Linked DNA regions of Lytechinus pictus. The protein of the gene in region 3 purifies or fractionates together with the protein of the main gene of each other region. This does not show direct contact. Links are inferred from orthologs where the notes say so. Each region holds a gene or a part of one and is shown on either strand. Other genes may lie near its edges. The genes, in order: proteasome assembly chaperone 3-like, proteasome assembly chaperone 4-like and proteasome assembly chaperone 2-like.

Region 1 (7,453 bases), on a different chromosome or scaffold from region 3:
GTTGGGTGAAGTTATTGCAGAACCACTATCTATCATATTCAACAAGTCAATGCATGAAGGTAAAATTCCAGCTGACTGGAAAAAGGGAATTGTAATTCCTCTTCCCAAGAAAGGAAATAGAACACAGATTTCTAACTACAGACCGGTGAGTCTTACATCGATAGCAGGAAAACTAATGGAAAAGATTGTGAGGAATGCTGTAGTGGATCATTTGCAAAATAATCAATTGTTGTATTATAACCAACATGGATTCATCCCAGGACGGTCATGTTCCACACAACTTCTGTATGTGCTTGAAGAATGGACGCAGATGCTTGATGAAGGGAAGCCAATCGATGTTTTGTACTTAGATTTTCGCAAAGCATTTGACAGTGTTCCCCATGAAAGGCTACTACGTAAACTAGAGAGACACGGAATTACGGGCCAACTTCTTATCTGGATGCGAGAATTTTTGACAGGAAGAGTTCAGCGTGTACGAGTAAACAGGGAACTATCTCCATGGTCTCCAGTATCAAGCGGAATACCGCAAGGGAGTGTTCTCGGACCTATTCTCTTCCTAGTCTTTATCAATGACCTATCATCTGCTGTCAACAAGAGTAATGTTGCTTTATTTGCCGACAACACCAAACTTTACAATATAGTGAGTGACTTATCAAAGATCAAAGATCTTCAAGAGGACCTGGATAGACTACAATTATGGTCAGCGAAATGGCAGTTACCTTTCAATAGCAGTAAATGTAAAGTTCTACACATCGGAAGGAATAATCCAGAAGCAAAATTTTATATGTTGGAACAAGAAGTGAAGTCAGTAGCTACTGAAAAGGATCTTGGGGTAACAGTTGATAATCAATTGAAATTTCATCAGCATGTGTCTCTAGCTGTTAATAAGGCATACCAACTGCTTGGAATCGTAAAGAGAACTTTCACTCAACTAAACAAATCTACCTTGCCCATTCTCTTCAAGACATTAATTAGACCACATCTGAAATATGGGAGCGTCATCTGGAACGGTAGATTTACAGAACATGCCAAGAAGGTTGAGAGAGTACAGAGGCGAGCAACAAAACTAGTGAAGGACTTGAGAAACGTACCGTATGAAAGGAGACTCAGGGAACTTAACATGTACTCACTCTATTATAGACCATGTTGCATATGTTGTCAAAAAAGCGAATGGGATACTTTCATGTATTCGCCGCAGTTTTGAATGTAGAGACAAATCTACAATCCCAAAACTGTACAAAGGACTTGTCAGGCCGATCATTGACTATGGCAACTCTATATGGTATCCTAGATTTAAGAGTGACAGTAAAGCCATTGAGAAGGTACAGAAGAGAGCAACAAAAATGATCTATTCCATCAGAAACTGCACATACACAGAGAGATTAAAAGCACTCAATCTTCCTTCTCTTGAGTACCGCAGAAGACGAGGAGATATGATACAGGTGTTCAAAATAATCCATGGATTTGAACGCATTCCAGGTGATACTTTCTTTGTGTATACAACAGGCAACACAAGAGGGCATAGTCTGAAGCTCTCAAAACCCAGATGCTTGACGAAGATCAGACAAGATGTTTTCAGCCAGCGTATCATAAACGACTGGAATTCGCTGCCCGAAGAGGTAGTCACTGCTCAGACGGTGAACAGTTTCAAAATAAGGCTAGACAAGGTGTGGGCAGACCAGCGGTACTGCTCACCCTATGATGCATAAACCACACTAATATTGAGGACGGTGCAGATTTCCAAGCTAGACTGCTATGAAGATACCTAACTAACGAGAAGGATGAAGGACTTGAACTGGAAGCACGACTGCTGGGATCATCAGCATTCTTCCAGAATCTCGGGTAAAGGTAAAGGTAAAAGAAGGAGGAGAGGAGATTATGATAATGGTCCACCAGATTATGCATGGATTGGTCAACATTTCTCCAGACCATTTCTTCTACAAGTCTGGTAGTAACTCTACAAGAGGTCACTCCATGAAATTATTGAAATCCCATAGCAAACTGGAAGTGAGAAATAAGTCTTTCAGTAGAAGAGTCATCAATGACTGGAATAGTCTTCCTGAAAACCTAATACAAATGCCAACAACAGACAAATTTAAAAGAAATATTGATATATTTTGGCAAAGAAACCACTTTGAGCTTCCATGACTCCTCACGCAAGCTCATGAAGTAGTAGTTTTCAGTGACCAATCATACAAGAAACGACCGGGAATTACAGGCTTGCGCCTTCATCCCGTACCAGATGATGATGATGATGATTATTGTACATGAATTATGAAATCCTTTTTTTTTATGCTCTCTTTATGTATGTAAATATTTAATGACTAGAATTAGTAGAAATGCATTTATAATGTTATGTGTTGTAAATATGATTTTTTTTTTTTTACTGATATGGAAATAAAGACATTGAATTGAATTGAAATTGAATCTATTCTAGGCCTAGAGCAAAAAGGCACAATGACAGCCAACATCAGTGACATAAACAAATTGCTAAATCAGCAGATCTGCTGCTCGGGTTTTTTTATCATCAATTTTTCATAAGTATATCATGATATTGTCAATGAATCATAATTCATAATCATTTTTTTTACGAATCACGTAGATCTACATAGTAGTACATGAACGACCATACGAAACATCGAAAGTTAAGCCTAAAAGTGTAAATAGACCAAAATGCAAACGGATTTAGCCATAACTTGTAGGCTAGTCTTCATTTACTCATGATCAATATGGCCATGGGAATATCAAATTGGGATTGGGTCGAATCTATTCTATTTCCATTTCCAAGCATAATAATGAATGCACGGGACTGGGGCCCTGCCTGGCCTGAGCAATTTCTTGCTCCGACTGCATTTTCAAATTATGCTAGTATTGCATTGACTCCTAAGCCTTATTTATCAATATTGCAAGTAATCACTTACCTTTTTAGTAACTGGATACGTTGACTGAACTTCCATCATGCGGGCTAAAGCCTAAATCAAGGACTTTTTAATCCACAGGACAGCTGTTTGTTAATGTGCCGTAGCCGATGTGGGCGGAGCCAGTGAAAAGGGAAATCCCCGATCGATCGGCACATGTCAGATGTGATCTGGGCGAGCTTGGGAAGCGCTGATCAGGGGGGGGGGGGGGGGGGGGGGGGGGGGGGGGCGGCTGGAAGTTCGATCGTCTTCTCCTTTTTTAATGCCTGAAAAGAAGAAGAAAAAACAAGGGGGCTGGGAGGGGGAAAAACTGGGTAAAAGAAAAAACATCCCTTGAAAATATTTTACTTTAAATTTTAAAATAATTTTAACTGATTTCCCCAGGTATATGTCTATAACGGTTAAATCAAAGTCAACCCCTGGCCCCATCCGCCCCCACTGCTCCATACACCTCTTTTTTTTTTAGTTTACGAGTTTTTACTTTTTCCTTGAAAACATTACCAACATCATTATTTCTTTCATATAGCTCTAGCTCTTTCATGATAAAGACATTAATTTTTGGAAAAAGTGACTTATTCATTTTGTCAAATGTTGCACACACTTAATAACATTTCCTTCTTTCGTATTCAAATTTATATTTATCTTCTCTCTCCCGTAGGTCTTTCTAAAATCTGTTGTTCATTTTTCCAGATTTCTCTCTTCATCTTTTACTTGTTTTATTCTTTTTCTCCCACTTATTACCCCTCCCATTTCCTTTACCGATCTTTCAAATATTTTATTTCTCTCTCTCTTTTCTCTCATATTCTATGCCAGACCATTAATATCTGTCTCTCACTATACAAACTTTATATTTGTTGTCTCTTACCTAGTATTCCTCAACAGGGGCCGCGGAACCGGGGGGGCTTCAGCCCCCCCACTTTTTTCCAAAACCGTGTACAAAAACGCAAAAATGACCATACGATTGTGATTTTTTGCATGGTCAGCCCCCCACTTTTGGCTCAGCCCCCCCCCCCACTTTGAAAACCGTTCCGCGGCCCCTGCTCTACTATGCATTTCCACATTCTCTCTTTCTTTCATATCATTTGTCAATCTTTCAAATATATATATATGTCTCTTGCAAGATCAGTTTCTCTCTTCTTTTTTTTTACCTCTCCTAAAGGAAATACCTCCTATCATTCTCCAATTCATTCACAATCTTTCTCTTATTTTTCCCAGAGACACCCCTTTCTTTCTCCATTTCTCTGAATGTCTGAATATTAAAAGTATATTTCATGGTATACATGGTTTTTTGTGTGTTTTATTATGTTTTGGAGTGCTTCTTCATATTTCATACCATCAATTCCTTGTAGAATGCAGTCAGAGGAAAATTATCAGATTTTTTTTTTTGTTAGGGGGGGGGATTAAAGGGATGCACAGGTCCCCTCCCCTTAATTGGTCTTGGTCATATAGGATAGCAGGACCCACAGGCTTTCATGCAGTATTGTCATAAATTTATTTCAATGGAAATAACTGATAAAATTATCTGATCCTCACATGCACAGGTATGCATAATTTCATACATGAACAGTACAAGTGAATGCCCTTGAAGTGAACACTGATGAACAGTACAAGAGAATAATTACTTTGTAAGATACCAACCTGTAAGATATAGAGTTAAATAACTATATTGGTAACTGAATATTAAGCTGCTTTGACACCAATCACAACAACATCATCAATATACACATCATTAACAATTAACAGTTAAACCATTTTCTATTAAATATTAGTTCTCCTCTGGCACAATATAATTTACAATTTCGAAAGTAAAATGGGCAGGCTTTTCTAAAAATGCACATTTATATTATGATTTAAAAATTATGTATACACATCAAAATTCATATTGCAATATTCTATTTGAGAACACATCACAGCCAAAGTCCAACATATCATTACAGATATCTTATCAAGACTAGGGCAAATGAATTTGGTCAGTGACCTTACTCCAGTGCCCATCACAGCTTTGACCTTTTACCCTCAATACTAAGGCTCAGAAAATATGATATCACCTGGCTTGCTGATAGACCTATGTTGGGATTTAATTGGAAATATATAATAACTTAATAACTAAGAAAATAATTGACTGGATACATGAACATTTACCATAGTTACACTGTACGTTTATTACTTATTCATAATTATGGAACTAGATTTTTCATCCTCAATATGACAGAAAATGTTAGGATATTTCATTCAAGTCAACTATAAATTGTGTACTACACACACACAAGCTTGCCTAAAATAAGTATAAATAGGGTAAATCTAGATGCTATTTGGATGTAAAACACTGATCTCATTTAGACTAGAGTTCCAAATACAAACACTTTTCTGAAGTTACAAAACAGTAGAGGGCCAAAAATAAAAGAATGGTGTATTTGAGTTTCTGAGATAATACAATATCATATATTTAAATATTGGTCCCATTCCAAACACATCTTTCACAAGTTTGGACATAACATGTGCCCTTTTTTTTTTTTTTACTTCAAAGTGACATAGGCCTACCCTTTTTCAATCCTGACTTGATCCTGACTTTAAAAGATAAAAATATTTCAAAATTTGCTTAACCATTTAAAAGATACTCATTGCATCCCAATAGGATGCAAAAACACCAATTTCACGGGTTCAGGGAGGAATCTAAACTTTTTTCACATTATAAGTATGAAAATATTTTATATAATTTGCTAAAATAAAAAAAATTATCAAGCATGTGATGTTGATGGTTCCCTCTTTTGCATACTGTCCAAAAAATCAGACTATATCTGATAAAAATACGGCAAAGTATCTTGATGTTGAGCTGCAGAGGAAATTCAGCTGGAATCAACAAATACATATAACGAAAAAGGCCAACTCCACACGTGCCTTCCTCCAGAGAAATATCCAGCCATGTCCGAGAAGGTCAAGGAACTGTCAGTGCTCTTCTGCAACCAATCATGTGTTTACTTGCACGCTGTAAGCAATTTTTTATCGGACGATGTACATACACTTGCACACTGCACTTCAACAGTACGATAATACACCAGACGGTGGCCTGTACTGTGCTTTTTGATAAATCACCTCAGTTCTGCATTTTAATTATTGTTAATTCATTGTTACTTCTTTGATGACATGCATAATGCTTTGCAGAATTGAAATAAACTTGAACTTGAAGATGAAACATTTACATAATTACTGTTTTGTGGATTATATTTTTATGCAAAACTTTATTTTCTTTCCTATTTAAATTCCGATGTTGATGAAATGTCAGAGATAAAACTGGTTTTAATTTTCCCCATTTCTTCAAAACAAACTTTGGTTGGGAATGACTTGGTCTTTAGTGCCTAATAAATGCACATTAATTCCCTCCTCGAAAAAAGTTGATTTGAACCAACAGAGAAAGATCAAGCAAGCATTAGGCTGAAAATTTCATCGAAATCGGGTGTAAAATAAGAATGTTTTGACATTTCAAACTTTCGCTTATTTCACATAATAATTATCAATAAGAGAACGGATGATGTCACTCACTATTTATTTTCTTTTTATTGTTTGAAATATACAATATTTCATTTTTTTACAGATTTGACAATAAAGACTCTCTTGATTGAACCATAAAATGTTAAGACAATTGACATCCCACATGCTTAGGGAGGAATAATAAACATTGTTTCACATGACAATCAAAATAAAAATATTTTACACATTAAAAAAAATAATTGTGAGCAAATTGATGTCATCGGCTCTCTCATTTGCATACATATCACAGAGTTGTGTATAGGCCTAACTGTTTTGTGAAAGATAAGCAAAACTTCAAAATATTTTCTTATTTTACATCTGATTTCTGATCTGATTTTACATCTGGATCTGATTCAGTGTATACCCCAGACAGCAATAATATCTCCACGCAATATTGGTCAAGTAAATCTCTAAAGACATTTTTTCTCTAAAGACATTTGCAGAATGCAAATAGTCATCAAATTGACACAAATCAACTCTTTAAAGCCCTGGAAAATCCCTCACTCCCCTCCCTAGATCCCTATACAGTATACATCTCTAGTCTTGATTAACTCGTTCTAAGCAGTAATTCACAAACTTCAGACAAGCAGAAACATATTCTTGAGGGTGTTTCCGAAGGTGAGCGACATGATCCGTGTCATCCCACACCACCTCCTGGGGGGTGTTTCATCAACATTTTCATCCGACAAGTTGTCAGATCTGACATCTTTCTCTGATGTTGATTGGCTGAGAGGTATTGTTACTATGGTAACTGTCGGATAAAATGGGACTTGTCGGATAAAACGTCCGACAAGTCCTTTCATGAAACGCTCCCCAGGACATCAAAGCCCTGTCGACGCCTTTCTGCAATCACTCCCTGGACGTCTTTGTAGGGAACAATCTGATCTTTCTTTGAATACAAAAACAGCTGGGGACACCGCATCCTGTCCGCAAGCATTGCTTTGTAGTAGGTGTCACGGTCTGATACTCCTCTCCTTAGGTAAGAAATAAAGGAGAGCACCATGAAG
Region 2 (7,240 bases), about 7.5 Mb from region 3:
ATATATGCCTGTTTACGTAAGACCATCTTAAAATGTTTTTGTCACATTTGATGAAGCGGTGGATGGAACAACAACCCTAGTATTGCATTGCAGTTTAAGTAGGCAATTCTTCAAAATAACCACGAAAGAGAATTTGTTGTACCAAACCTGACAGCAGCACTTCATAACCAAGGCATTGCAGAAGTTTGTGAAGCTACTCAATGAGCCATAAGAATTTCATGATCACATCCTGCATTAACTTTACATGTATGTGGCAGGATGTGTTAGGAAGCACATCATTTTGTAAGTGCACTATTTTGCCAAATAAATTGAAATTGTGGTATAGATATTTTCAGCATCTCTCGTGCAATGAGCAAATGGCGACTTAACAAAGATCCGTTGACCAGTGGATCCATTCCTTTGTTTACATTCCCAATAACAGTTGAACCACTAGTGATAAAGACCTGCTTTTGTCAAAGATATATTTCTGTCTTTAGGATTTATATTCAATTTAAATTCTTCAATAAAAGAGTCATTGACAGCTGGAATAAACTCCCAGGAGAAGCCATCAAGTCATCCACACTCCTCACCTTTAAACAAAGACTATCAAAATTGGGTTATTAATGGACTACAAAGCCCCCAAACCCTGCCACACTATTATCTATCTCCATGAAGATGGAAGTGTGGTGCTTCAAGGTAATAAATAGTGTGATGTATTTTGACTTCAATTATGCAGATAGTGTATTGTATTTGTACCCGTACAGAGATCCTGACTGTTAGTCATCTTTTACAGTATTTGTACTGCTTTCCCCCCCAAAAAAATACTACAGGACAGGTTTCATGGAACAACTCAGTAACTTTTCTTCCAATTGTAATATTACAAATAGTGCTTATTTTCTCTTGATTTTTGGCACAGATGGTTTCGAAGTTCATTGCATGCCTTTACATTGAATTCTTTGTTTGTAATTAAAAAAATTTGTGTGCTACTTTATTTTACTTTCCACCGATAGCATGAAGGCTACACTTGTTCACTGCAACCACCCTACCTATTTAATTTAAAAATTTAACAAAATTAAAAATATCACTTTTGTAACCCAAAAAACTTTCCATATGGTTGTGATTTATTTTTCATTAGTAACTTGGGGATAATTTTTTTTCATTCACAAAAGCGCTCAAAAACTAATTTTGAGCATTTTTTGTCTCGGCCTCTAATTGTGTAAAGTAAAATTGCAAGAAAATTGTCATTTAACAATCTCTATTTTTAATTCATATGAAATATTAAAAGAACTCAATTTACTTCAGAGCCAAGTTATATGATGAATACAGTAGTTGTAGTGGAAACTGACTGTAAAACAAAATCAAGCATTTGCTGATCCCCAAAAAGGCAAGAACAAGATAAAATAATCCAAACATTGCCAACCATATTTCCCCCACACAGAGATTCCTAACAACAGAGAACAAGGCCTATCGCAACTTTGTTTATTAAATGAGTGGAAGGCTAGGGCCTCTCAAAAGACTCGAATATGTACCAAGTCACCACTCTAGGCGACACCCCAATACTTACCCGTGCTAATAAACTGGGACTCCACTCACGCGCATTTGGGCCGCCCTAGCTTAGAACTAAGCTTTGTTTTACTAAAAAATAAATCTTGTAATGATTCAATAAATGTTACTTAATAAATTAGTACTGTTAAATCGGTACTCACCGGTTCTTTTCTTGAATTTTCTGGCAATTTCCCACGCTTCTGGCTTCAATTCTGCGGCTGTTCCTGTCGCGGTAGACAGCTACATATGCAACTTTATTTATAAATAGAGCGCCCCTTACGATAGTTGTTAAGAACGCGGCCAAATTGTTAGGTTTTTTGCACTGTGTCCAAGGCGTTTTTATTTTGTTTGATTTTTATTTTTTAATAAATATTTTGTTGAATAGCGATTTTTACGTCAAATATTAAATTCATCTCACAAAATATTTTTAATTGTAGAAATATATATAATATCATGCAATTATTTATTCTATATATATTTTATAATAAAATTTATAATTGTTGCGGTCTTTAAAAAAGGATAGTCGATCGATCAGGTGATGACTACTCGTATCACGTGATCTGAAAATCAGCTTCGTACCGCTTTGATCGCACTCGACGGGACCGGACTGACTGCCAAGAAAAGATCGAAAAAGGACTCAAATGTAAGTTTCCCTTTATTTTATAACATTTAGAATATGAGTAGGATTATAGTTAATGGGTAATTTTTTAATAAATGCTAAACAAATGAGGACAAAGGCTCAAAGCTTGCATTTTTCGAGTAATAATCACTAATATCATAAAAATACTTGGGTGCAGGACTTCTAACCTGTTTTTAACGCATTGTCGCCTATGAGGTCCATACATGTTAATGTTTGGACCTCATTGGTACTAGGAGTGCAAGTCAGTACTAATCAAAATCAGTTTTTGAACATTCTGGTATGTCACTTTTAACAAAAACTAAAACTTAAGACTTCATTCCATTCACTGATAATCTGTTTTTCATTATAGAAATATTGGGGATTATATTTGTTTTAATTTACTAGACTATAATGTTTGGTGAATTAAAAAAAATATAATCCCCATTCCCCAATGAAGCTTGCAAGTTGCAGTCATTGCAGACACCAATCAATCATTGACATTGTCACAAATTGCCCAATTTGTCTTCTTTGACTTTGTACTTCCTAAGCTAGGTGATATCTTAAAGATGATCTTTTGTTCTGAAGTGTATTGTAACTTAGGAATAGAATCAACAAAGACTGAACATATTGCTACCCATGATAAACCATATCCAAATTCAAACAAATTATTCATGATCATGCACATTCATTATTGTAAAATTTGACATGACAAACATAACACAATTATGAATACGTGGGGCACTCGTTTGATCACGAGAAAAATATGAAGTCGGAATTTCTACTTTCACAAATGATTACGTATTCTAAAGAAAATCGAAGACGTCATGTTTATACCTAATATACTTACATACTTACTTGGTATATGACTTAAATATCTGGTTATTTTTCTACTCACAATCTCACGATTTTAAAATCCCTTCTTACTTGCATGACATACCTCGATGACTCTCAATTAGCCTTTGTTCAAGAATGAGATATATTTCTTCCAGATCTATATAGACGACAGCTACATATCAATATGCTAGATTTGTGAGTTGATTACCGAAGACGGTGACATCGACTCGCGACTTGTCAAGATGACAAGATAAATGATCGACGAGTCGAGGATGAACATGCTTGCAGGCACGTCGAATACATACATAGGCGGATCCAGGGGGGCGGCCGGGGGCCGGGGGCCACTTACATTGACGAGTGGATACCGTGCGCGACCAAAAAAAACACGTAAAAAGGATGTCTTTTTCAAGATAGGGCACGTTACGTACGTAACGTGATAAGGGTGTCAAAAACACAAAAATATTGAAAAAAGGGTATCTATTTCGCTTTGAAAAATATACGTGTTTAGGGTCAAATATGCGGGGATGATAAAACAAAATCAAAATGTTTTATAAAGGATGTCCTTTTTGCCCCAACACTACGTGTTTAGAGTCCGATTTGCGCGAGGTGTGGACTGGGGCCGCCGGTACTAAACCAAAATAATAAAAAACGGCAAGACAAGAGTTTGAGGGACAAGAGTTTGAGGGACTTACTCGTTCACTCCAGAATGAAACCACTTGCAGTCAATCAATCCCAGCGGCAAGGAACAACATCTTGCAGGAGACGTAGGTGCAACACGTGCCGTTTTGTTTCTGATTGCACTTTGCTGAAGGGGCCGAATGGCACGTGGGAAATAAGGGAAGATTTTACCTGTACCACCACCAACCTGATTTATGCCATCGTCTGCTCTCGCTGTGACTTGATCTATATCGGGGAAACCAAGCGTAGGATGGCCGACAGAGCTACTGAACACCTAAGGTCCGTTAGACTCAACACTCAAGGTCTTCCTGTGGCCCGTCACTTCAATTTGCCTGGGCACACCATAGATGATATGAAGATCTTCGGAATTCTATCTTGCAAAGGAAGTGATGAGGACAGAAAGCTTTTGGAAGAGAAGATTATCCATCGCCTTGGATGTCTCCAACCCAATGGACTCAATGTTTCTTTCCACTCATTTCGTCTGACGTAGATATTTCTTTTCTTCTTCTTTTTCTTTCTTTTTATTATTATTATTATTATTATTATTTTTTTTTCTTTTACCCACTCTTCCTTTCTTTCCTTTTCTTTTTCCTTCTCTTTTTTCTTTCTTTCTCCCCTATCTCCCTCCTTCTCACCCGCTCTTTCTTTCTTTCTTTCTTTCTCTCTCAATGTTTCTTTCCACTCATTTCGTTTGACGTGGATATTTGTTTTCTTCTTTTTTTTATTTTTATTTTACCTTCTCTTCCTTGTCTTTCTTTCCTGTTCTCTTTCCTTTTCTTTTTTCTTCTCTTTTTTTCTTTCTTCCTTATCTCCCTCCTTCTCACCCACTCTCTCTTCTTCTTTCTCTCACGCGCTCTCTATCTACTCCTCCTACTGTCTTCTTTCGTTTCCCCTTTATGACGTATCCTTTTCGTCATCCTTTGTGCGCTTTTGCTCACTGCTTGGATACCGCGCATTTTTATGATGCATTATTTTGACGCAATCTAATAAATTTGTCATAACTTGACAAAGCCCTATGGGCGAAAATTCGTTAAAATATTACTGTCCACGGAGTTTTTATACTTTTCTTTGTTTGAACCTATATATATATATATATATATATCCCTGAATCCCTGAATCCCTGCACCCCAACCCGATTCCCCTTATACCCCCAACTCCCTCTCACCCACCCCCTCTACCCCACCCCCTCTCTCTCTTCATCTATCTCTCCCCACACACACTCGCAGTAAAAGCCCAAAAATTCTCCAGTTTTTACATTCTATTATCATTGAATCATCCAGGCTAATCAAATTGGGAGAAATTACCGGGGAAAATTAGCACCCTTAGTATATGAGTCAGCCCATCCGGCGACTAGCCCACCCTCCAGCCTCCTGGGCTTTATCCACTCCGTTTTCAATTGAAACAAGTGGCACAGCTAGCTAGCCCCCCCCCCCCCCCTCATCACCATCCGCATATCATGTTCATATACTTGAAAGTCGATGCAAGTATAAATCATATAAAAATGTCGATGCGAGCATTAAAATTACGCCCTTCAAACTCCCAAAGCCGGTAGTGGACCGCAGAACGGTTTTGAAAGTGAGGAGGGGGCGGGGCGGCTGGCTATGCAAAAAAAAGAAGAAAATCAGATGGTCGTTATTACTTTTACTACTCATTCCTTGAAAAGTGCAGGGGCTGCAACTCCCAGTTCCTCACCCCCTTGGATAGTACCTCAATGTTCGAATCATTGACTTGGGGAGGGGTTGAATTATTGTATTGTATTTTTTTTATGTTTGCCCGTAACTATGGTAGGCCCAACCATTGACAAAAATGTCCCCTCCCCCACTCGATATGCCCTTACACTTATAGGCCTAGATGCTGAGCATCATCCTCATTTTCTGCCTAGATAGGCACCTGTTGATGGAGGTCATTCTCCTTTTGGCAGGAGGTCCTGGGCTTCCTGTTTGTTTCCTGCGCGTGTAATCAGCTGTTTGAATCATCATATTAGTTAGTACCGGTCTAGCGGTAGGGCTGTTGACAGTGTGGCTTGGATATACCTCTGTCACACCTTAATAGGGACTCGAGAGTCATAGAAAGAGCGATAAAAACGAACCATATATCCAAACTTCTTGATGAATTATGCTCCAAATCAGGGGCGGCGGAACCAGGGGGCTGGCGGCACTTGCCCCCCCCCCCCCCTCCCCAAAAAATCGTAGTAGGAAAAAATCCCTTTTTTTAAATAACATGTTCCCTTTTCGAAATGAAATACCCTTTTTGAAGTTAAACATAATACATTTTAGGTTAGAAAATCGGAAATTTTAGCTCGCGCTTCGCGCTCGCATCAGTTATTGTTTAGTAAGGTACTCGCAGCCTGTTCATGGTAACAAAAATGCTTATATAGAATGTTCAGTTGTCGGGTTGGAATATCACAATTTCGGGGCTCGTGTTTCGTGCTCGCATAAATTATTGTTTTGTAAAGTACTCTGTTTCTGGTTATAAAAATGCTTGGAATGTCTAGTTTTCAGGTTGGAATGTCACAAATTTTCAGCTCGCGCTTCGCGCTTGCATTATTCGATTGATGAGATATGTATCCTATTCATGAGTCACTAAATGCAGTCTTTAACAGGTTCCTTTTCTGGTCGGTATATAAAAAACATTCAGCTCGCGTTAATTATTTAGTTAGATTTTCATGATTACAAAAACTGTTTGGAATTTTTAATTTTCATGTCTTATTGAAATATCCCAAAGTTTGAGCTCGCGGTTCGCGCTCGCAACATCTTGTGAGAATACCCTTTTAACAGTTATTAGCGCCATTATTGACCAAAAAGCGAGTTTTACATCTTCAGATTTGTAAATTTTTGAAAAAGCGCTCGCTCGCTACACTCTCTTGCGGAAAGAATAAAGCCACAATATACGATATCTTATCAACCAGAAATCACTTTTAAAACGCTTTCCTCAACTTATTTAGTACAAAACACACATCTGACTCACACAGATGATAATTTCATGGTGAAAATATCCGTTGCACCAAAATGGCCATTTTGACAAATTTAAAGGTGCCCATTTTGGCTTTGCCCCCAAGACCCCAAACGAAACGCCCCTGCTCCAAATCACAATATTACGATCCTGGCCAAGCTTTGAAAATTAATATTTATTTATTTAGAAAATTCCTTTTCCCCTATACTCCCTTATACCATTTCAGCCAAACTTTTGATCTTAAAACATATATTATTATGTTCGTTAATAATGTTAATTTGCATTTATCATTCTACTGGAATATTTAATCCGGGGATTTCATGAGCCTATGATGTTAACACCTCTATCAATTCGATGTTCAAGTTAAAGATAAAGTTACCACAATTTAATTCCAGCGATATCCCTCAAAGTGAAAATCTATATAAACTAAAAAATAACAAAATTATATCCAAACTTCGTACCAATATTGAAAAATGATATTTTTGAAAAATGGAGAAAAAAATATTCGATTGCGATTTGAACCCCCTACCGCCCCCTACTCACCTTAGTATGTTCTTAACGATTAAACATTCTTACCTATACCCCCACTTCAACGAAAGACATGAAAGAGAGGAAAAATCCTGCGTACTGCAA
Region 3 (7,106 bases):
TTTCTTATTATTCATTCAATCTTCCTCAAACTTTCAACAATAAGTTTCTTTGATTTTTCTCTTTGATATGGATTCAGCTAGTTTCAAGGGTTTCATTCTCCTTTAAGGATAGAAAGGCTTACTAATTTGGGAGATGTTTTCTATGTCTAAGTGTCATTATGTAATATGTCATGATGTTTACACCCATCTGCTGAATAGAGACAACCAAGGAGGGGCATACAAGAAAAGTCCCCGAATATGGAGAGGAGGCATATCAGCTTACCGGTAAGTGGTCTTTGATGTTGTCCTTCAGGTATTTTTTGCCACATCGATAGTGTCAGTGACTCCGGCTGTTAAAAACTGATGCCTTAAATACTCAGTTTAAGAAAATATGTCTGAAAGAAAATACAAGGATTCCTTTCACCATGCGTACATATGTAAAGGACATTGACAAAGTAAAGCTTCAGAAAACAGGTACACATGCCACTATTGTAGGGCTTACACTAACGCTACTGCTCGTTCCATGGAGATTTAGATCAATGTAAATCTTTGACGACATCCATGGTGAAATATGTCTGAGATAATATCTAAAACTGATGCAATTGGGATGATACCCCTACAGTATTGGTAAAACAAACAAATGTTCTGTATTTGTAATGATCATTTGTTCAAATAATAAGGCTGGAACATCTAAATTACAGCCATAATATAGTATCACTGCTTGAACATGTTGAATGGAGTGGGAAAACACTGAATTGTGCAATAATCTTCAAAGTAATAATCACTCCTCAGAGTGCCAAAACAGACTCAGTGATGATCTGGCGAGTCTACATGTGACTCCTTACTGCATGTACTGTGCTATAAATCATCTCTGAACCAATCCAGAAAGACCCAAATTTAGTGTATTCCACCTTACAAACAGAGAGCAGATCAAAAACTGAGGGTCAGATGGTAACAAGCCAACCTACCTTTGCATCATTCTAGACCATTCTTTTTCATACAAAAAACATGCTGCAAAAACAAAAGCAAAATATGGAGCAAGGAATACCTTTCTGAAGAAGCTGGGAAACAGAAGGGGAATTGACAGATACCAAATCTATCTGTACCACAAATCTTGCTCTATCCTTCTCAACTGCTGCGTAGGCAGACCTTGCTGCTAAATATTTACCCCAAGTCTTGAATGTAGCTTGCAGAGCCATCACTGGCTGTTTGCGATTAACAGAAGTGAGTAATCTTTACCTTCTCTGTATTATTGCCCCACCGCACGTCAGAAGAGAAGTTATCAGCACAGATCGATGAAAGAATAAACAATCAAGAAGATAGTATTCCACTCGTCAACATGAACCTGCCAAGAGACTCAAATCTAGACATAGTTTTCTCCGCTCAACAGAATCCCTTGATGACTCTGCACGCATGAAAGCGTCACCCTCTGGTCTAACAATCTCCAGTCTGTGATGTACAATCTCACCTATGGACTTAGTACATCACTCTCCAGGTTCAAGTGAAGAATGGCCTACCTGATCTTTTTGAATCGCCAATGGGGCTACAATAGGGATGGAGAAACTACCTGCAACTGTAAGGAAGATCATAGGATACAACACTTTCGTGTCTGCTCCCTCCTACCAGAGCTATGAACTGCCACTGCCTTTGCCACTGCACAAGAGCCTTTTTACAGGAAAGCTACATGTAGATTTTGTACCATTTTAAACAGGACATGACATCTTTAATGAACCAAGAAGTAAAAAGTGTGTCATTAATAATGAAAGGAAGACGACACCTTATGGTAATCTGACATTTGGGGGAAAAGTGATTATTTACTCATGGATAGTTGGATGGGGGAGGGGGCAGGGACTTAATAGGTTCCTGATGGGGTTGTCGGTTAGGTCATGGACCTAGGTCCACGATTTGGCTAAAACTTTGCTGAAATCGGTGCCTTTATTCTTGTTGTTAGTGTTTTAAGGTGAAAATTACAATTTGCCAGTGAAAGAGCAAAGATATTCGATGCTAACATTCTTACCCAATATCTACATACCCCCCTTAAAAAGCCACCTTTTGGAGAGACAAACTCCTGCACACCTAGGCTCCCATTTGGTCACTACACAGGTCCTGTGTAGTAGAGGGTTCAAGCAAGATCTGGCTTTTGTGTTGAACGACTCCAGATCTTTGGCAGCGCATGGCTCTGGTGGTAGGGGGGCAGACCAAAAGGTGATGCACTATCTGATCCTCCCCTCAGTCATAGATAGTGTCTGCATCCCTGCTGTAGCCCCGAACTGCATATTAAGGACTTTGCATGCACCTTCCTGTTCCAGACCATAGGCGATTAAGACATAGCCAGGATGGCCATTTGTTACTTGATCCTGGGGGGCATGATTCGCTAGGTCACTCGGAAAGCTTTTGCGTCACAGACTGTCTTGATTCCAGTCTCTTTTTAGCAGGTTCATAGTTAAAAAGTGGAGGAAGGGCATATTTTTTGCTTGTTTTTCCACTCGTGCTGATACCTCTATGTGTGGGGGGACTGTGCCACACAATAGGTAAAGATCATCTACTCTTTTTGGTAGCAGACAGTCGGAAATTGCTCTGCAAGCAGCATTCAGGACTGGGTTAAACTTGTAGCATACATCAGAGCTGTTGAACGGATGGTTTGGCATCTGCTCCCCATATCGTGTTAGCAAGCCTCTTTTTGATGTTGTTTCTTTCTCCAGATTTTGCCTCTGTTTTGGCAACATGTTCTTTGTACGCAAGAGTGACGTCAAGGTAGGCAGGCTTGCTGGTGTGTTTCATTCATTTTCAACACCATCTGACCATCAGTTTCCGCTCTGCATCTCATCTATTGTTAAGGTGGAATACGCTAAGTTTGGTTTTCTCTGGATAGTAAAGATCCAGATATGCCAGAGCATCACTGAATGTTTTTTCCACCTCTTCAAATGACTGCTTCTGTGAGGCAATGTACCGTTCATCAGCATAGGTAGCTCGTTGGACAAGGACACTTCTTTGTGGGTGACCATTTTTCTGCCTCCACCATTTGCTGCTGAAACCACTGAGATTCACAAGCAACCGGTTTGAGGGCATGTTCTGAATGAGCCTTGTCATCTTGACGTTCTTTGTCATCACAATGACTTTCCTTGTAAGTAGGCCTACACTATGATTAACTGTTTCATAAGCTGCAGAGAAGTTAACAAAGGCTACTCCAGTTTTCAGACCTTCCTCAAACCATCTGATGTACTGAGTCAGATTCATTACTTTTGATAAGTAAAGGACTTTCCTGGCCTGAATCTTGCCTACTGGAATGAAGAACTCAGTTACGAAGGGAGCAATGCGGTTAAGCAGGAGCCTTTCAAAGGGCTTGTACATGTATGTGTGAGAGAGTAGAGAGATTGTTCTGTAACTCTTTCGGCTGATTTGGGTCTTTGCCTGGCTAGTTAGGCAACTACCCTCAATTTCCTCTTGCCATTGTTTTTTTCTTCATGCAAACAGTGGTTTAACATGTCAGCAGCCATTGGGCTGCAACAGATCCAAGAACTGTGATCTGCTCACAGATGCCATCATCTAATCCGGTTGCCTTGTAGCTCTTCATTATTTTCTTAAATAACAGCACAAGTAGACAAGACGTTCATGCTGAATGGTCTTGTGTATTCAAATGACTCTTAGTTGGGAAGCTGTCACTGCACTTTTGGGGAGGTTGGCACTTTGCGGGCAATATAGGGTTACCGTGAATGTACACAAGAAGATAGTGAGCCACTTGGTCGGTGGTCACTAGGGGTATGACTCGCATAGTCGTTTTCAAGGATCTGAATTGTTTTGCCCGGCTTTTCTGCTGTTGTGAGTCATGTCCATTGATTTATAGAACTACTGTCCCTTTCTTTTTTTACTTTCCATAATGGCAGTTGTCAATTTTCCCCCACATTCAAGTGTATCTGCACCAAAGGGGTAATGCTCAAAGCTCCTGAAATATTTATTGTACAGCAGCTTCGTCATCCGTCCAGCCTGGAGGATAGTTTGTACGGCAACCTCGTGGAATATTCTTCTGTGATGATTTCTTCAACAGCTTTTTAAATCTGAGAAATATTGTAAAAATTCTTGAGTACTAGAGCTAGGGGATCTATAAATAACACCGGCGATAATATTCTTATTTCCAGGAATCAAAATTTCAATGAAGAGGTTGTTGCAAACAGAAATTTCATTCAAAATAGTATAGTTACGTGATTTGCGAATGAGAGCAACACCACCACCAACTTTATTTTTTTCTATTTTTATTGATGAACTCATAATCCTTTATATGAAATGGGTGGTTTAAATCGTGATTTAACCAAGTTTCCGTAAGGCCGATCAGAGAAAGTGGGTTTGACATGGGCTTACCTATAAGTGAAAGGTCATCAAAATGTCGATTCAAACTTCTGATATTTAGGTGAAGTAAGGAAAATGTATTTAATTCAAATTCTTTCAAGACACTGGAAAACTGATTGACGGTTATGTAATTAGTAATTCCTCGTTGGGCTGGGTCATTGAAATCAAAATCAAACTCCAAGTTTACAGATGAAGAGTTCATGCTATCTCTGATAAGATTGTCGTATAAATTAGTAGAGGTAAGAGAGGCATCATTAAATTGAATAGGTCGATGTCACTCGAAGAAATCGTCATTACTAAGCCTATGGAAAGGCAATGATTGTCTATCAAACGAATCAGACATCGTCATAGATTATAAAGTATTTTCTCAATAAAGATATTTGGCGATTAAAAGAAATCATGTCTAAAATGGCGCTATCAGCAAGATATAGAGGATGTGGGGAATGAACAACGTCCACTTGAAGTAAGATTGGAGACGAGTAGATGGATAACAAATGCAAATGGAAGAAAGTGGTGATAAGGAACAAACAAGTGGAACGCCTCTGGCAGTCTCGCCTGCATTACGCGATTTAATATAGCAGCAGTGCTAACTTTGAAAACTACTATAAAATAATCATTCACAAAAACACCATTCATATAATGACATAATACCACGTTCATTGACCATAGATGACATTTGAACGGTGACTTAAGACTTGTCAACTACACCTATGTCCACATTTCATTCACTCTTTCCATAAACTTTCAAAGTTATGATGGCAATTCAACAATTACCCCAACATGGCATAAGTTTATTGACCTTAACTGACCTTTGACCTGGGTTTTGTGACCTGAAACTTACAGGGGATGTTCAGTGATAATTGATTACTCTTATATCCCAAGTTTTATGAAATAGATCCATAAACTTTAGAGTTAGGATGGTAATTCAACAAATGGTCGCATGTCATAAGGTGCTCCAATTTCGCGAACAGGGTAAAAATGGTCAAAAATTTTATTTTTTGAAATGTTATAGCTATTACCATTCTCTAAATAATGAAAAAGTTTTACGTCTCGAATACCTTTATTTTTCCTTGAAATGACTAATTAACATATAATTATTACATAGACGTCAATGTAAATGTGAATTTTGAAATGCGTTTTTCTCAAATTGGACCTGCTGCACATAAAATAAAATAAAATGTCAAAAGTTAATGCAACATTGGATCACCCTAGTAAATTGCAGTTATAATCTTGAAACATCAATAATTAAATCTGTACCAAAAATCGAATAATTATCTATTATTGTATGCATATTAATTATACTAATTAATCAACAGTATTTAATTTCACATTTTTGCCCCAAAAATACCTATGGGCAATTCCATGTTACTCACGTTACACAATTTAGGCACCTTAACATATTGTTATTGCCATATTTTGCTTACTGTGGGGTTTGACAATCTATCTTTTCTGTACATTTAATTTCTCAAAAATGACATACATTCCCATGTAAATGGTAAATAAACATGATATAGATGACCAAAATGATAATTTTCAGGCTCCCAATTGAATACATATAAAATTTAGAAATATTCAAGATCACCAAGATAGTTCTAATTGGACCATTGCCATGGCAACGGCTTGTTTTTCCCCAGAAAAATAAAAGACATAATTAAAAAAACGTTATAAAATATGATTTATCTCTAATTTCCCCCTAATTTCAGTGTTAAACAAAGATATTTTGGTTGCTAAATGTATAAATTACATCTCAAGCCATTGCCATGGCAACCAAATAACATCTAATTTACAAAAATAACATGGTTGACAACACAATGGACAGGTGGAAAATAGAATTAAAATTGACTTAATCTGTATGCTTAAGTTTTTACCCCCTCATTTGAACAAAATATACAGAAAGTGTTCTGCAGGAGTTCTTTATAAAGATAAAAAATAATGTTGCCTTGGTAATGCTTGAATTAAATAAAAAAAAAACAATGTTGCAGAGATCCCGTTGCCATGGCAACAGCCTATTTCCCTCTAGAAAGGTAAAAATATTGATAAAAATGTAGAATATATATACATGTATGATCATCATTCCATTTTCAATATTTTAAGGTACTAATCAAGATATGTTTGTGACTAAATTTTTAAATATAACATATTAAGCCATTGCCATGGCAACCAGATAACATCTAGTTTAAAAAAAAAACAACATGGATAACAAGTTATGGACAGGTGAAAAATACAATGAAAATTAACTTAATGTACATGCATAAGGTTTGACCTACTCAATTAGTTTAGGGGAAACAATACAGTGAGTGTTCTGCATGAACTAATTAGAATAAACATTGATGTTGCCTTGGTAATACTTGAATTCAACAATCAATGTTGCAAATGACCTGTTGCCATAGCAACGGCTCATTTACCCAAGAAAAGTACCAGTTTTGATTAGAAAAAGGACTGTACAATCTGATTTTTCTTTCATTTCCCCTAATTTTAGGGTAAGAATGGATATGTTTGCTGATAACATACAAATAACATCTAAAGCCATTGTCATGGCAACCAAATAACATCTCATTTGAAAAAAAAAACGTGGTTGACATGATAATGGACAGGTGGAAAATGCAATCTATAACAATTAACTCAAGATTTGACCCAGTCAATTAATTTTGAACAAAGATTACAGTGTTTCGCATTAGTTCATTAGAATGATAAAATTTGAGGTTGCCTTGGTAATGCCTGAATTTAATGATAAATAAAAATGTTGCATGTGGCCCGTTGCCATGGCAACGACTCCTTTTTTT

The links.
Region 1: the proteins of proteasome assembly chaperone 2-like (region 3) and proteasome assembly chaperone 3-like purify together in Homo sapiens (affinity purification with mass spectrometry; 4 studies listed by BioGRID and IntAct, counting the BioPlex papers as one, with this or other methods). This does not show direct contact. The link is inferred for Lytechinus pictus from reciprocal best matches to the Homo sapiens genes PSMG2 and PSMG3.
Region 2: the proteins of proteasome assembly chaperone 2-like (region 3) and proteasome assembly chaperone 4-like purify together in Homo sapiens (affinity purification with mass spectrometry; 3 studies listed by BioGRID and IntAct, counting the BioPlex papers as one, with this or other methods). This does not show direct contact. The link is inferred for Lytechinus pictus from reciprocal best matches to the Homo sapiens genes PSMG2 and PSMG4.

The regions. Positions count from the first base shown.
Region 1 is NC_087255.1:4,224,195-4,231,647, reverse strand, and holds the start of proteasome assembly chaperone 3-like, read right to left. Parts: upstream 3,086-7,453; 5' UTR 2,961-3,085; coding exon 2,922-2,960; intron 1-2,921. Other genes in the region: transmembrane protein 53-A-like, read right to left, coding at 6,984-7,100, 7,255-7,453. UniProt on the Homo sapiens protein: Chaperone protein which promotes assembly of the 20S proteasome. May cooperate with PSMG1-PSMG2 heterodimers to orchestrate the correct assembly of proteasomes.
Region 2 is NC_087246.1:50,377,357-50,384,596, forward strand, and holds the start of proteasome assembly chaperone 4-like, read right to left. Parts: upstream 3,105-7,240; 5' UTR 2,991-3,104; intron 1-2,990. UniProt on the Homo sapiens protein: Chaperone protein which promotes assembly of the 20S proteasome.
Region 3 is NC_087246.1:42,917,759-42,924,864, forward strand, and holds the start of proteasome assembly chaperone 2-like, read right to left. Parts: upstream 3,070-7,106; coding exon 2,827-3,069; intron 1-2,826. UniProt on the Homo sapiens protein: Chaperone protein which promotes assembly of the 20S proteasome as part of a heterodimer with PSMG1.